Linked DNA regions of Arabidopsis thaliana. The protein of the gene in region 3 interacts with the protein of the main gene of each other region in a pairwise test. Each region holds a gene or a part of one and is shown on either strand. Other genes may lie near its edges. The genes, in order: AGL78, AGL101, AT5G38620 and AGL89.

Region 1 (3,474 bases), about 11 Mb from region 3:
GAGATAACTTTTCAGTTAAGTGAGATTTTTGCTCTGTTATGGAGCAGGAGAGTGTCGCTGATGAATAAGAAGAGGACGAAATGGAATTTTGCTGTGACGCCACGTCTTCAGAGTTCGAAACGACGATGTTTTGAAAGTAATCCAACATTTCGTAACTTAAGGATGTTTCCACGAGTGAAAAGCCATGAGGGTAATCTTGTTGGAACATCATATATAGCCTCTCTCTCTCTCAACCAAACGAGCACAAAAAGAAATGAAGGAGTTAATGCATAAAAGTTAATGGCTACGTTATCTTTTACACAAAGTAATGTTTATGCGTGTATTTATAATGGGGTCTTGTTGGTTTGTTTTAATTTATTAATCTTTGGAGGACTTTAATAATCAAATTTTCACGACGTTTATGTAAGAAATGAAGCCCTAGCTCTGAAGAGATCAACCATTTGATTAATTTTAACCCGATTTTACGCAATAAATTAAGAAACGAATGCAATAAATTCTTAATACTAAGATCAACAATTAGTTTATAACTTTATATTTTACCCGATTTTACGCTTTATATATCGTCATGAAATCTCTCATGTTTGACTAAGGGGTATTTTTTATACCATGGACTTTTTGCTCAAAACCTCAGTTACAAATAGAAATAAAAACTCTTACAATTGATGGAAAACAATCTATAGGGAGTTTATTTATTTATTGACTGCAATCAAATATACTATCAAATAAAGAAAATTGGATTATGAAATGAATCTAAAGGGATACTTCAGCAACAGATCCCACATAACATAATCCAATAAGAACGTTCAGAGATATACACAACAAATAAGAATGTTAACTTTCATGATCGCAAAACAAATCTTAATACTTTACCATTCAAGTAATATATTTAATGAGGCATAAACAATTTATATTTCTTTGTGATTGCCAATCACAATGTCGTTTTATATGATTGGTACATTTCATCTAACAAAGAAACGAGTCTATTTGTGAGTTGAAAATTCGTGATTTGTGGTTCACTATTGGATCGTCGTTATCAATCTGACATTAATTGTACCCTATTATATATATTGTTGTGTCTATAATAAGGCAAGCTGGTTACTACATTTGTCGACTTCCACATTCCCAATTATTGTGTATTTTCTTGACTAGCTAATACATATATAACAAGAATTAATCTTCCACAATATGAATTGTGATGCGTTTACAGTGGTAATTTTGCAATAAACAGAGTGAGTATATATATACCCTTCGAACATTTAGTTTTAATTATTTGAAGAGTGTTTTTATGTTAGTTATTTTTCACAACATTCTGATTGGAGAAACAATTTATAGATTTTTGAAAACCCTTAATTAACAACTATAACGTAAAAAAAAATTTGAAAAAAAAAGAAAAAAAAAAAGATAGAAGAAACCTAGAAATAAAATGAGTTGAAATCTTTCTTCAATTTTTTGAAAACCCTTAATTAACAATTAAGAGTTTTTTTCTTAGAGACAGATTTTCCTTTTTCCTCCAAGTTTTTGTTGCACAATTAATAATTACACAATCAAATCTATAGTATTTTTTTAATTAGATCTTAATTTTGTACAGCCTAAAATAAAGTACCATCGAGAAACTAATTAAAAGTTTCCTTTTTTTTTGGTCTCTACCATCGAGACATTAATTAAGGAAATCTACATTAGATATTGGAAATCGAATCGAATCGTAGGAGCGTAGATCTTCACGCCTCGCGATTAACAACGACGCGTCGCGTTTGCTTGTTCCCGTAGGCACCAAGGCATCTATATAAACATATTGAGTTCACAATGTTTCACCCTCAATTCGACAATACTTCTTCTTCGTGTGTTCTCTCTCTCGGAAAAAACCCTAGTTTCTTGCCGAATCAAGGCAAAGTCACGATGAAGCAAGCTTCTTCTTCTTCTTCGTCACGTAATTCAACAAGTTTAACAAATAGACTTAAAACCATCTTCAAGAAAGCTGAAGAGCTTTCGATTCTCTGTGCTATTGAGGTTTGCGTCATCTATTACGGACCAGACGGTGAACTGAGAACATGGCCTAAGGAGAGAGAGACAGTGAAAGACATGGCTTTGAGGTATAAAGAGGCCAGAAAACGCAAGAAGAGCCGCAATCTTCATGAGTTCCTCGAGAAGGAGAAGGACAAGGACAAGGGGAAGACGAATTTGAAGAAGAATTGGTATCCAAACTTTGATCATTACTCTCCTCAACAACTCTCTCAATTGATTCAGTCCTTAGAACGGACTCTTTCTACTCTGCAAGAAAGGCTTCGTATTGTTGAGGCGCAGAAACTACAGAACACAAACTTGGTGCATCAGAGTTTAACACCATCGTATCTGAACCAGACCCAACACTTGAATCCTAGCAAGTTCTCGCTGTTTATGTACAACCATGGAGATGCTACTCTCTCACAACTCCCACTGTCTGCTCCACACTCCAATCAACTCATCAATTACCAGAATCACTTGATGCAGCATGGTTTTGGTCAGAACATGTGTTCGGACAACATCACCAACAACAACTTTGAACATCCTGGCGTGTCAAACACACAAGACTACTCACCGTTACTTTCGGTACAAGCATCTGCAGTGAATAACTACGGGTTGAATAATCACTTGATGCAGCAACAGGATCAGCTTCATGGTTTTGATCAGAACATGTGTATGGTGAGTGAAATCATCAACAACAACAACGGTCTACAACATCCTAATCTCTCAAACACGGTTCCACATGAATTCTCTTCTGATTTCAACCAGAACCCTTATGGTAATGCGGTCGGTAACATTAGCTTCTCTCAAGACATGTTTTCAAGCTATGATGCGAGCAGTCTGCTACAGACATCTTCTCTGCCACCTCTCCACAACATTCCTAGCAGTTATTGTTTTCCTGGCAACTCAAGACTTCTCTGATAACAAAATCTGTCCAAAAGAATTTGTTTTTTTGAAGCTTCATTAAGAGTCAGTCAATAGTTAAGTAGCAAGCGGATCGGAGAGAGATTGAAGCTGTTTCTGCTTCCGATTTCTTCTGTTACTGTTTTTTTTAATATTTTATAGTGTCATTATAACTGCAAAACAAATCCATTTGTTTTTTTTTTTTGTTAAGAAAACAAATCCATTTGTGGAGATTTTGTTTTTACTTTTAAGTTGATACTTTTTTCAGTTAGTATTGACATATATATATGAACTTCCATAAAAAATCTTTCACAAAAACTTGCATGAAACAAATTATAATCTTAAAACCTTAATTCTTGCAACTTAGTATCCTTCTTGTCTGAATCAACTAATATATACAAGGAGATGGAGAGTGGATCTGAGTTCGTGAAGCCTCTAGACTTTTTGCAGAAGAAGAATCTCTGTGTAGTTTCTGAGTAATGGTATGAGGAAGAAGATAAAGATTGAGCTGATTGAATATCTGCAATTAAACTAGCCCTTGTGTTTTATCAAGAAAGTCGATATCACATT
Region 2 (2,858 bases), 5.9 Mb from region 3:
TCTTGATTCCAAACCTATAAGCCTAAACCAACCAGCATCATTTTCTCTTGTTCAGCCTAAAAAGAAAGTTTAGACACATTACCTTACTTGATGGAGGAGGTTGATTTTCAGTCCTTGATCCCTCAAATTTCTTCAGAAAGTTTCCTCCGACATGCTTAGTCTTCTTCGTTGTCTCCGAGAACTTTGAAAAAAGGTGGATCCGGTGGAAGTAGTAGTGGATCCGACGGAGGAAAGGGAGAGCGTGGCGTCGACAGCTATGAAGAAGATTAAGAAGGATGGAGATGAAGAAGTTAACCACGTCGTCGTTGAGAAATAAAAGCAAAACTAAAACTATTTATAGATTATAAGATGAAATTAAGGGTGAAATAGAGGTTGCAAGGCAACCCTAAATACCCTTATTGATGTCATTTTTTCGGGAGGATCTTTTCTCTCCCTCTTCTCTCTCTAATACCTTTCAGAGAGAAAATAGGTTCTCGACCTGATTTTGGGGGCTAGAGTTTTTATGGAGACTTATGTCACAATGTCGTTGGGCTCTGCGTCTGGCATCACTTGCGTATAAGCGGTGGAAGCTGTTTTTTCCGACATCGGTGGCTCTGTTTACCACTGTTGGCTGACACTTCCAGTACTGATTGGCTTCTTCTGCAACGGTGGCTGGTTATGTCTCCATCGATTCAGCCTCTGGCGATTCAGATGGCTAGTACTGGCTTTTGTCCGGATTTGTTTTTAGTCTTTCATTCTCTCGTTTCTCTTTAGCTTCAGTTATTTTGTGTTTGGACCGATGCTTTGGATTTGATTGAAGTTTTGTTCGTAGGTTTGAATGAAAGCAAGCCCCAAATAGCAAAATTTCCTTAACGATTGAAAACTTTTTGATTAAAGAAGAAGATGAAGAAGATTTACAGATTTGTATCAAGTGGAGTCATATTTGCAACAAAAGTCAATTGGAATTTCGCCTTGGTTTGTTTGGGCGAAGAAGATGAATAAGCTTTCCGGCGATTTCTGCTTAGAATGAAGCTTCCGACATCACAACAACTTTTCGATAATCGGAGACTCCCTCCTCCTCTTCAACTTCCCACATGTCTTCCAACTTGTTTCTCATTTGACACGTGTTTTATATGTTGTATACAAGTTTTTCCTTCAGTTTAGGGTTCTCTTATTTGAGCTTTTGGACTTATGATTTTTTTTACTTTAGTGTTTGTAAAATATTGGCATGTTACATTTGGCTTTGTATTATAATTAAAACACACTTGTAAAAAAAAAAAAAAAACTAATTGATGTTCATTACACTCATATATATATATAATGAATATACTTGCTAGAAACCTAAATACATGGGCTTTAGATGGGCTAGTAGATAGGAAATACATGGGCTTGTCAAGTTAAGGTAGAAGTCATCCACAATGCCACTTGCATTCAAGATTCTCTCACAAGTCTGAGGAAATGTTTTTACGAGGCTTTACGGGTTAACGCTGCTGGTGAAGAAAAGCAGAGTGATTACTAGGAAACAGAGCTTGAGGTTTGTTTCTGAAAGCGAGAATCCGGGTGCGATTCAAATTTATAGCCCTTAGCCAATTGCTTCATGTAGGCTTTTCTTGACAGCGAAGTTACCTCATCGACTTTAGCTTTTCTTCCTTCGGTTAGATCGTAGTGAGCATAGTCGAAATCCATGGCGGAACCTGTCCAAATTTTCCTTGGAAGCTCTCCGAGGAAGAAAGTGTTCTTGAAGTGGACACCAAGCTTTCATACATGTATCCATTATTATTACTAAACACGAAGAAAACAAAACGGATCTAACTGAATATACTCTGAAGATTATTAGAAGAAATTAGACAGAAACTAATCAAATGAAGCCTGCAGAGAAGAGAAGAGAAGAAAGCGTTAAAAGACTAATCAAATAAATTCAAGCAGAGAGTGAGAGAGCGGAGAGTATTGTTTCGTCGCTTGTGATTTGAGAGGAGGAGGAGTGATGGAGAAGGTTTACCAATGAGAGAACAGACCATGTTCAAGAAAGCCTTGGAGCTTTCAACTCTGTGCAACATCGAAGTCTGTGTCATATATTATGGTCGTGACGGAGAACTCTTCAAGACATGGCCGGAGGATGAATCCAAGGTTCGAGACATGGCAGAGAGGTTTACCAAACTAAACGAGAGAGAGCGACGGAAGAAAAGAACCAATCTTTCTCTGTTTCTACGTAAGAAGATCCTCGACGACAATAAGCTCTCAGGGAAAGTCTTAGAGATGAAGGATTCGTTAGAAAGGGGTCTACGGGTGCTACAAGATAAGCTTCTGTTACTACAACCCGAGAATCAGACCAAGTCCCTGACTCGTTCTGTTTCTAGTTTAGATTATGTGTTCGTTTAATTGTCTGATTAAGAGTTTCTGTTGAATTGTATGTTTTCCTAACTATGAATGCTATTTTCTCAATTCTATTTTTGTCTATGAGTCTTAAATTTGAGTTTGAATATACATTAGACATTGAATGTTAGATGTCCATAATTGATGCAGGTAAGACAACTAATTGAGTAATTGAGCAAGATATTCTGTGAAATTTTCGGTTCAATTTGTGAATGAACTCAATGGAGGAAAGCTTATAGAAGAGGATATGATAATCATATTACCTGACACTTTGATATGTCAGACGCTCTTGTAGCAGCTTCCGTCAAAAGTTGTTGTTAATACTTAATACTAATGTTTTGTCCAAGATGTGGAAAAAAAACTGACTTTGTTCAGTTGTTGGATTTAGATGCCAGTGAGTTCCCAGATTACAATGCCTTAGTGAGTTTTCTTGATAGGTCTTTAGTGTATCCGGAGGACTGAGAGTGAACAGTCTTGTGTCACGCGGTGGATAGATTCTGTGGTTA
Region 3 (3,466 bases):
CTAATCCTATGAGTCCTAAACCTCTTGACATAAAATTTCAATGTACTCAAATGTTAAAAAGGGCAATTCAACAGTTCAGTCTCTTTGACAAATGAAGTATGCGGAAATCGAACATGAAAACCGATACAACGAATACTAAAACCTCTTGACATTAGAATAGTCGCCAGACGGTAATATACTACAAATTTGAAGTCTAAAATATGAAGTTAAGACGGTAATATACTACAAACTCTTAACATGTGAAGGAGATTGTTTGCTTACCTTCTCCATTGAAGAGTATGAGTCCAATCACCATCATCACTGGATGAACCTAAAAACAAAGACATTTGACATCATCAGATATATATCTACCAATGATGACATTATACATCCAAATATGAGTCTCAGATCATAGCTTGTGATCACACAGAAAAGTAAAATCCAAATTTCAATATCTCAACAACACAATCAAGAAATATGAATCTCAGATACAGCAACAAGAACATTTCATCCAATCCATTTCACATGTGAGTCAAAACAACAATCGAGAGAATTACATTAAAGATGTGATCTTTGTTATCAGAAGAAAGAGCTAAGCCTCCTCTGTAATGAACAGTCCATGTCAAAACCAAAGCCGCGATGATGAAACCCAAAACTCTCACTACCATGAAGATCGGAAATCCACCCAGCACCGGAACCGCCATACTAAGCCCAGAAAATGCGAGTCTTTTATACGGCGATCAAAATCAGGATGAATTAGGGCTAGGGTTTTAGTTTTTAGTCGAATTTTGGGGATTTCTGAATCACCCCCTGTGTTTTAGATCGGCAATTACTCGACTTTGAGTTTGAGGTCAACCAGAGTGATTTGCCAGAAATATTATTTTTATAAGATTTTTTAATTATTATTAGTAATTTGATTTAAGGGTAAAAAAATGGAGCTTTGTGTCACTCACAAAACTGATTAGAGTAAAGATCTTTTGTTTATGTCTACTTTGCCTATTTTTATTTTTATTTTGAGAGAATTACAATGACACACACCCATAGATTTTTATTTCAGAGGCAAAACAGTATTGATTAATATTGAATAGTAAAAAAGATGAAATTCTCCAAAAGTATCTCTTTGTTATGAAAAATAAAGAAAGTGTGGCAAAGTGTAAGTCTTCCGGTCGTTAACAATGTTTTCTTCTGCTACCATGTAAGCTTTGTTAACTTCATAATCACATTTTAAGAGTGATACTACATTGTTGATCTTGTGATTAGAAAGAATAAACACGATAATGTGAAGAACCAACTATATATTTGTTTGTGTCTCTCATAATAATCTGACAATTTTTTTTTTGTAGAATCTAAGAAAATAATTATAAAACAAAATAACTAAAAATATCGCTAAATAAATATGAATGATAAGAAAATAACTAAAAATTATCAAAATAAAAATAAATAAATTATCTAACGTTCTAATTAAATACTACACTAATAAATAAATACTAAATTTGTTTATAAAATTAATAGTAATATAAATAATTTGGAGGCAAAATTTAGTTATTTTATAAATTTTGTTTTTAAACTATTAAAAAGAGTCTTAGGTAATTCTTTTTTTGTTTTTTTTTGTTTTTGTGTGGCGAAGGTCCATAGAGCATAGTTGAAATTATATATCTATTCTTGTCCATCTTTGAATAATTTATCATCAATAATGTTATGCTTGTACATAAGCAAATAAGAAAGGATGAAAAAAAAAAAAAAAAGGGGATTCTGGTGGATGGTTAGGCTTAGCCCATATTACGGTCCATGTGGTTTAATCGGTTAAGGAGGATGATATGGGGTTTCGATATTTCCTTTTTCATATGAGATTCGATAGTCCCTTATATATATGAGACTGAGAGATAGAAGAAGCCTTCACTTCAATTATCTGAAAATTGAGAAAAAAATCAATCAGAATGGTGAAAGGCACGAAGAGAAAGATTGCGATTGAGACGATACAGAAGAGAGATTCCCTTAGGGTTACCTGCACCAAACGCCGTAAAGGTCTCTATAGCAAAGCCTCTCAGCTTTGTCTTCTCTCCGACGCACAAATCGCTATCTTAGCGACTCCTCCTTCTTCTGAATCCGACGTCTCTTTCTACTCTTTCGGTCACTCCTCTGTTGATGCCGTTGTCTCTGCTTTTCTCTCCGGAAAACGTCCTGTTTCGGCTCCGAAGGATAACAAAGAGACGAGGGAGGACGTTGGTATCTGTTTGACTCGCAAGAATCTAGGGTTAGGGTTTTGGTGGAATGACGAGAGCCTTGTGAGATCGGAGAATCCTCAAGAGATTAGTGAAGCGATCGGTTCCATGTGGACTCTGTTGAGTAATCTCAAGGAGTTGCGTGCGGATGAAGCTTGCGTTAACGATCACAAGGACTTGAAGAAGAATGAGAAGAGCGATGTTCACGGAACTCAAGATCAAACCCTAATTTTTCAGTCCGCTTCTGCAGTTTGTTGCATCCCTGAAAATCTCAACGATATTACTCAAGAGCCAAATCAAACCCTAGATATTCAGTCCAGTAGTTCTGCAATCTGTTGCGTCCCTGATAAATCACCTGAAATTTTCAATGAAATCACTGAAGAACAAGATCAGATTCTCTCGATTTGTGAAACTTTTTGTGTTACGGATAATAACAACAACAACAACAACAACGCTGCTTTACCTGAAGTTAACCTATATTACAATCAAGACATGGCTATTGATCAACTCATTGACTTCAACACCCCTTTTGAAAGCTCGATAGATGATTGGTTTTCGGACAACACTACTCATCAGGAGACGACTAGTGCAAGTATTTTGAACGATGTTGGTGTTGATGATCAAGTCTCGGTGGATACAAATCCGTTTTCTTATTTTCAAAGCCTTGAAGATGCAGATTTGGTGTTTCAGAGATGTTTGGATGGAGATAATCTACGATTCTCTGATTGTTTCAATGACTTTGCAAACACTATTGCAGCAGTTTGAAGATAATCTCTCTGCAGTTTTCAAATCAACTTCTCTTTGTTATCTGTATGTATTGATTCTATTAGAGATTTATTTGTTCTAGCAATGTAATGAATGATCTGGTTTGACCTCGATCAGTTTTCCATATATGTATGAGGGAAATTGATCGAACTCAAACTGGTTCTCTGCTTCATCAGTTTGGTTTAATGATAATATTTGTGTTCTGTTTCTATGTTTTGTATTTGTAGTTTTAAGTCCAACAAACTCATGTCTTTTTATAAATCTTAATCGGATAAAAAAAAAGGAAATGTCTTTAATTTATGGCAAAATTGGTAGCTAACCAATGAGTATGATAAGAGAATCAGGTGAAATTTCGATTATATACATAGAGTTAACCAACTGGTATGCAATTGTATCATTTACACATTCTACAAAGAAATTGCCACTGAATAAACTTCAGGTTCCTCTGTTTCATTCTTAAAGTCTCAGAGTGGGGACCAAGATCAACATGATACAAAGTG
Region 4 (2,928 bases), 5.7 Mb from region 3:
TCCTCCGGATACACTTTACTTAAGCTTGTACAAACATGAATCAAAAGACCTATGATAAGCTAGGAGGCACGTGTGGTAGCTCAAACGGATTCGTTGAGGCTCGTGAATAAGCAAAGAGAAGCAGAGAAGGCACGTGAAAACAGAGCAAGAAGAAACAGATTGTTTAACCACTAGCTTGAGAGTCTAGTGAGTTGTATATAAATAGATAGAAGGTTATTGCACAAGTTATGCATGTATTGATGTGTGTGTAACAAACCATAGAGGAGAGTTAGGAGATCTCTTGAACAAATCTCCATTGTTAGGGCTTGGAAGAATTTTAATCGGAAAATCACAAGGCATTGTAATCTGGAAATTCACCATTGGCTTCTAAATCCAACAAAGCCAACTAATTGACTCAGACAAAAATTGAATTGAGAATAGCATTCATAATGATAATACTTAGGAAAAACATACAATTCAACACAAACTCTTAATCAGACAATTAAAACTCATAATCTAAACTAGAAACAGATCGAGTCAGGGACTTGATAGAAGCTTCCGCTGTCATGGTTATAGACAAAGACTGAATATTTGCTCTGATGGTTACTCAATGGTGACGTCGATAGGTCTTGCTCTGTGTTTGACACACCAGTCACCAATGGTTCTGTCCATTGTTGATGATGATGATCCTCAGGAGAAGACAATGGATTCGTTGTGGAAGAAACCGCACGGCTCTGACCTAGCTCGGTCTGGTTCTCGGGTTGGAGTAACAGAAGCTTATCTTGTAATACCCGTAGACCACTTTCTAGCGAATCCTTCATCTCTAAGACTTTCTCCGACAATTTATTGTCGTCGAGGATCTTTTTACGTAGAAACAGAGAAAGGTTTGTTCTTTTCTTGCGTCGCTCTCTCTCGTGTAGTTTGCTAAACCTCTCAGCCATGTCTCGAACCTTGGATTGATCTTCCGGCCATGTCTTGATGAGTTCTCCGTCACGACCATAATATATGACACAGACTTCGATGTCGCACAGAGTTGAAAGCTCCAAGGCTTTCTTAAACATGGTCTCTTCTCTCATAGACAAATTCGTGGTCTTTTTTGCAGTAGAAGAAGAAGAAAGAGACGATTTCTTGAAACAAGTTTGGTTTCTCACAGACAATTTGGTTTTCTTCTTCGTCGACATTGAAGAATCCATTGTTGTTGTTTACACGGTGAAAGAAAGAAGCTTTAGTTTCTTGCAAAGAGAAAATAAAGTCAGAGAATTGGGATTAGGGTTTATATTGAATTTGTTAAATTCGATTTCCATATTTATTTCATTTTTCTTCAGTAACTGTAATGAAAATCTTTTATTTATTTTTAACGGAAATCTGAATTAGATCCGATTTCCATTTTACTAATATCTAACCGTTGTACGTAATTGACAATTTCTATGTAATGAATTAAAGAAAGCAAAAAACCCTAAAATTGCCACAATCTTCCTTCACTATTCGCTATTCGCTCTCTGTCTCTCTGCTTTGAATCTACTTTACGTTTCCTTCTTCGCAGGTTTTATTTGTCTCTTTGTCATATTTCGTTTAGTCTTCTTCTAATCACAGTTATGATGAACACTTCTTCACATTTAAAGGCACAAGCTTCGTGTCCACTTGTAGAACACTTTCTCCGTCGGAAACTTTCCAAGGAAAACTTCGACAGATTCATACCGAATAGATCGGCCATGGATTTCGACTTTGCTAACTACGCTCTTACCCAAGGAAGAAAACGTAATGTCGATGAGGTAACTTCAGCATCAAGAAAAGCCTACATGACGCAATTGGCTGAGGCTATGAATCAGAATCGCACTCGGATTCTCGCTTTCAGAAACAAACCTAAAGCTCTGCTTTCTAGTAATCACTCTGATCCTCCTCACCAACAACCTATATCCGTAAAGCCTCGTAGATACATTCCTCAGAATAGTGAGAGAGTCTTGGATGCACCTGGAATTGCGGATGACTTCTACCTTAACTTGTTGGATTGGGGCAGTTCTAATGTCTTAGCCATTGCTTTGGGAGACACTGTTTACTTGTGGGATGCGTCTAGTGGTTCTACATATAAGCTTGTGACCATTGATGAAGAGGAGGGACCTGTCACAAGTATTAACTGGACGCAAGATGGTCTTGATCTGGCAATTGGTCTTGACAACAGTGAAGTCCAGCTTTGGGATTGTGTTTCCAATCGTCAAGTGAGAACACTGAGAGGTGGTCACGAGTCAAGAGTAGGATCATTGGCATGGAACAATCACATTCTAACAACTGGAGGAATGGATGGAAAGATCGTCAACAATGATGTGAGGATCAGATCATCTATTGTTGAAACTTACTTGGGTCACACAGAAGAGGTTTGTGGTCTTAAGTGGTCAGAATCTGGAAAAAAACTAGCAAGTGGTGGTAACGACAATGTAGTACACATTTGGGATCATCGTTCTGTCGCTTCCTCAAACCCAACTAGGCAATGGCTGCATAGGTTTGAGGAACATACAGCTGCAGTGAGAGCTCTTGCTTGGTGCCCTTTCCAAGCGAGTTTGCTTGCAACTGGTGGTGGTGTAGGTGATGGGAAGATTAAGTTCTGGAATACACACACTGGGGCTTGCTTGAATTCAGTAGAAACTGGCTCTCAAGTTTGTTCATTGTTATGGAGCAAAAGTGAAAGAGAGTTGCTTAGCTCACATGGGTTTACACAGAACCAGCTTACACTTTGGAAGTACCCATCTATGGTGAAAATGGCTGAACTCAATGGTCATACATCAAGAGTTCTTTTTATGGCACAGAGTCCGGATGGTTGTACCGTGGCTTCTGCAGCCGGTGACGAGACTCTCAGGCTTTGGAATGTTTTTGGAGAACCACCTAAGACCACCAAGAAAGCTGCTTCAAAAAAATATACGGATCCATTTGCTCATGTGAATCATATTAGGTGAA

What was found.
Region 1: the proteins of AT5G38620 (region 3) and AGL78 interact in a two-hybrid assay, tested with the Arabidopsis thaliana proteins (one large-scale study listed by BioGRID).
Region 2: the proteins of AT5G38620 (region 3) and AGL101 interact in a two-hybrid assay, tested with the Arabidopsis thaliana proteins (one large-scale study listed by BioGRID).
Region 4: the proteins of AT5G38620 (region 3) and AGL89 interact in a two-hybrid assay, tested with the Arabidopsis thaliana proteins (one large-scale study listed by BioGRID).

The regions. Positions count from the first base shown.
Region 1 is NC_003076.8:26,108,430-26,111,903, forward strand, and holds AGL78 (AGAMOUS-like 78), read left to right. Parts: upstream 1-1,896; coding exon 1,897-2,922; 3' UTR 2,923-2,974; downstream 2,975-3,474. Other genes in the region: AT5G65320 (basic helix-loop-helix (bHLH) DNA-binding superfamily protein), read right to left, coding at 1-211.
Region 2 is NC_003076.8:9,518,281-9,521,138, forward strand, and holds AGL101 (AGAMOUS-like 101), read left to right. Parts: upstream 1-1,995; coding exon 1,996-2,358; downstream 2,359-2,858.
Region 3 is NC_003076.8:15,463,358-15,466,823, reverse strand, and holds AT5G38620 (MADS-box transcription factor family protein), read left to right. Parts: upstream 1-1,916; coding exon 1,917-2,966; downstream 2,967-3,466. Other genes in the region: CYB-1 (cytochrome B561-1), read right to left, coding at 262-310, 537-683.
Region 4 is NC_003076.8:9,734,895-9,737,822, reverse strand, and holds AGL89 (AGAMOUS-like 89), read right to left. Parts: upstream 1,299-2,928; 5' UTR 1,173-1,298; coding exon 501-1,172; downstream 1-500. Other genes in the region: CDC20.5 (cell division cycle 20.2, cofactor of APC complex-like protein), read left to right, coding at 1,575-2,927.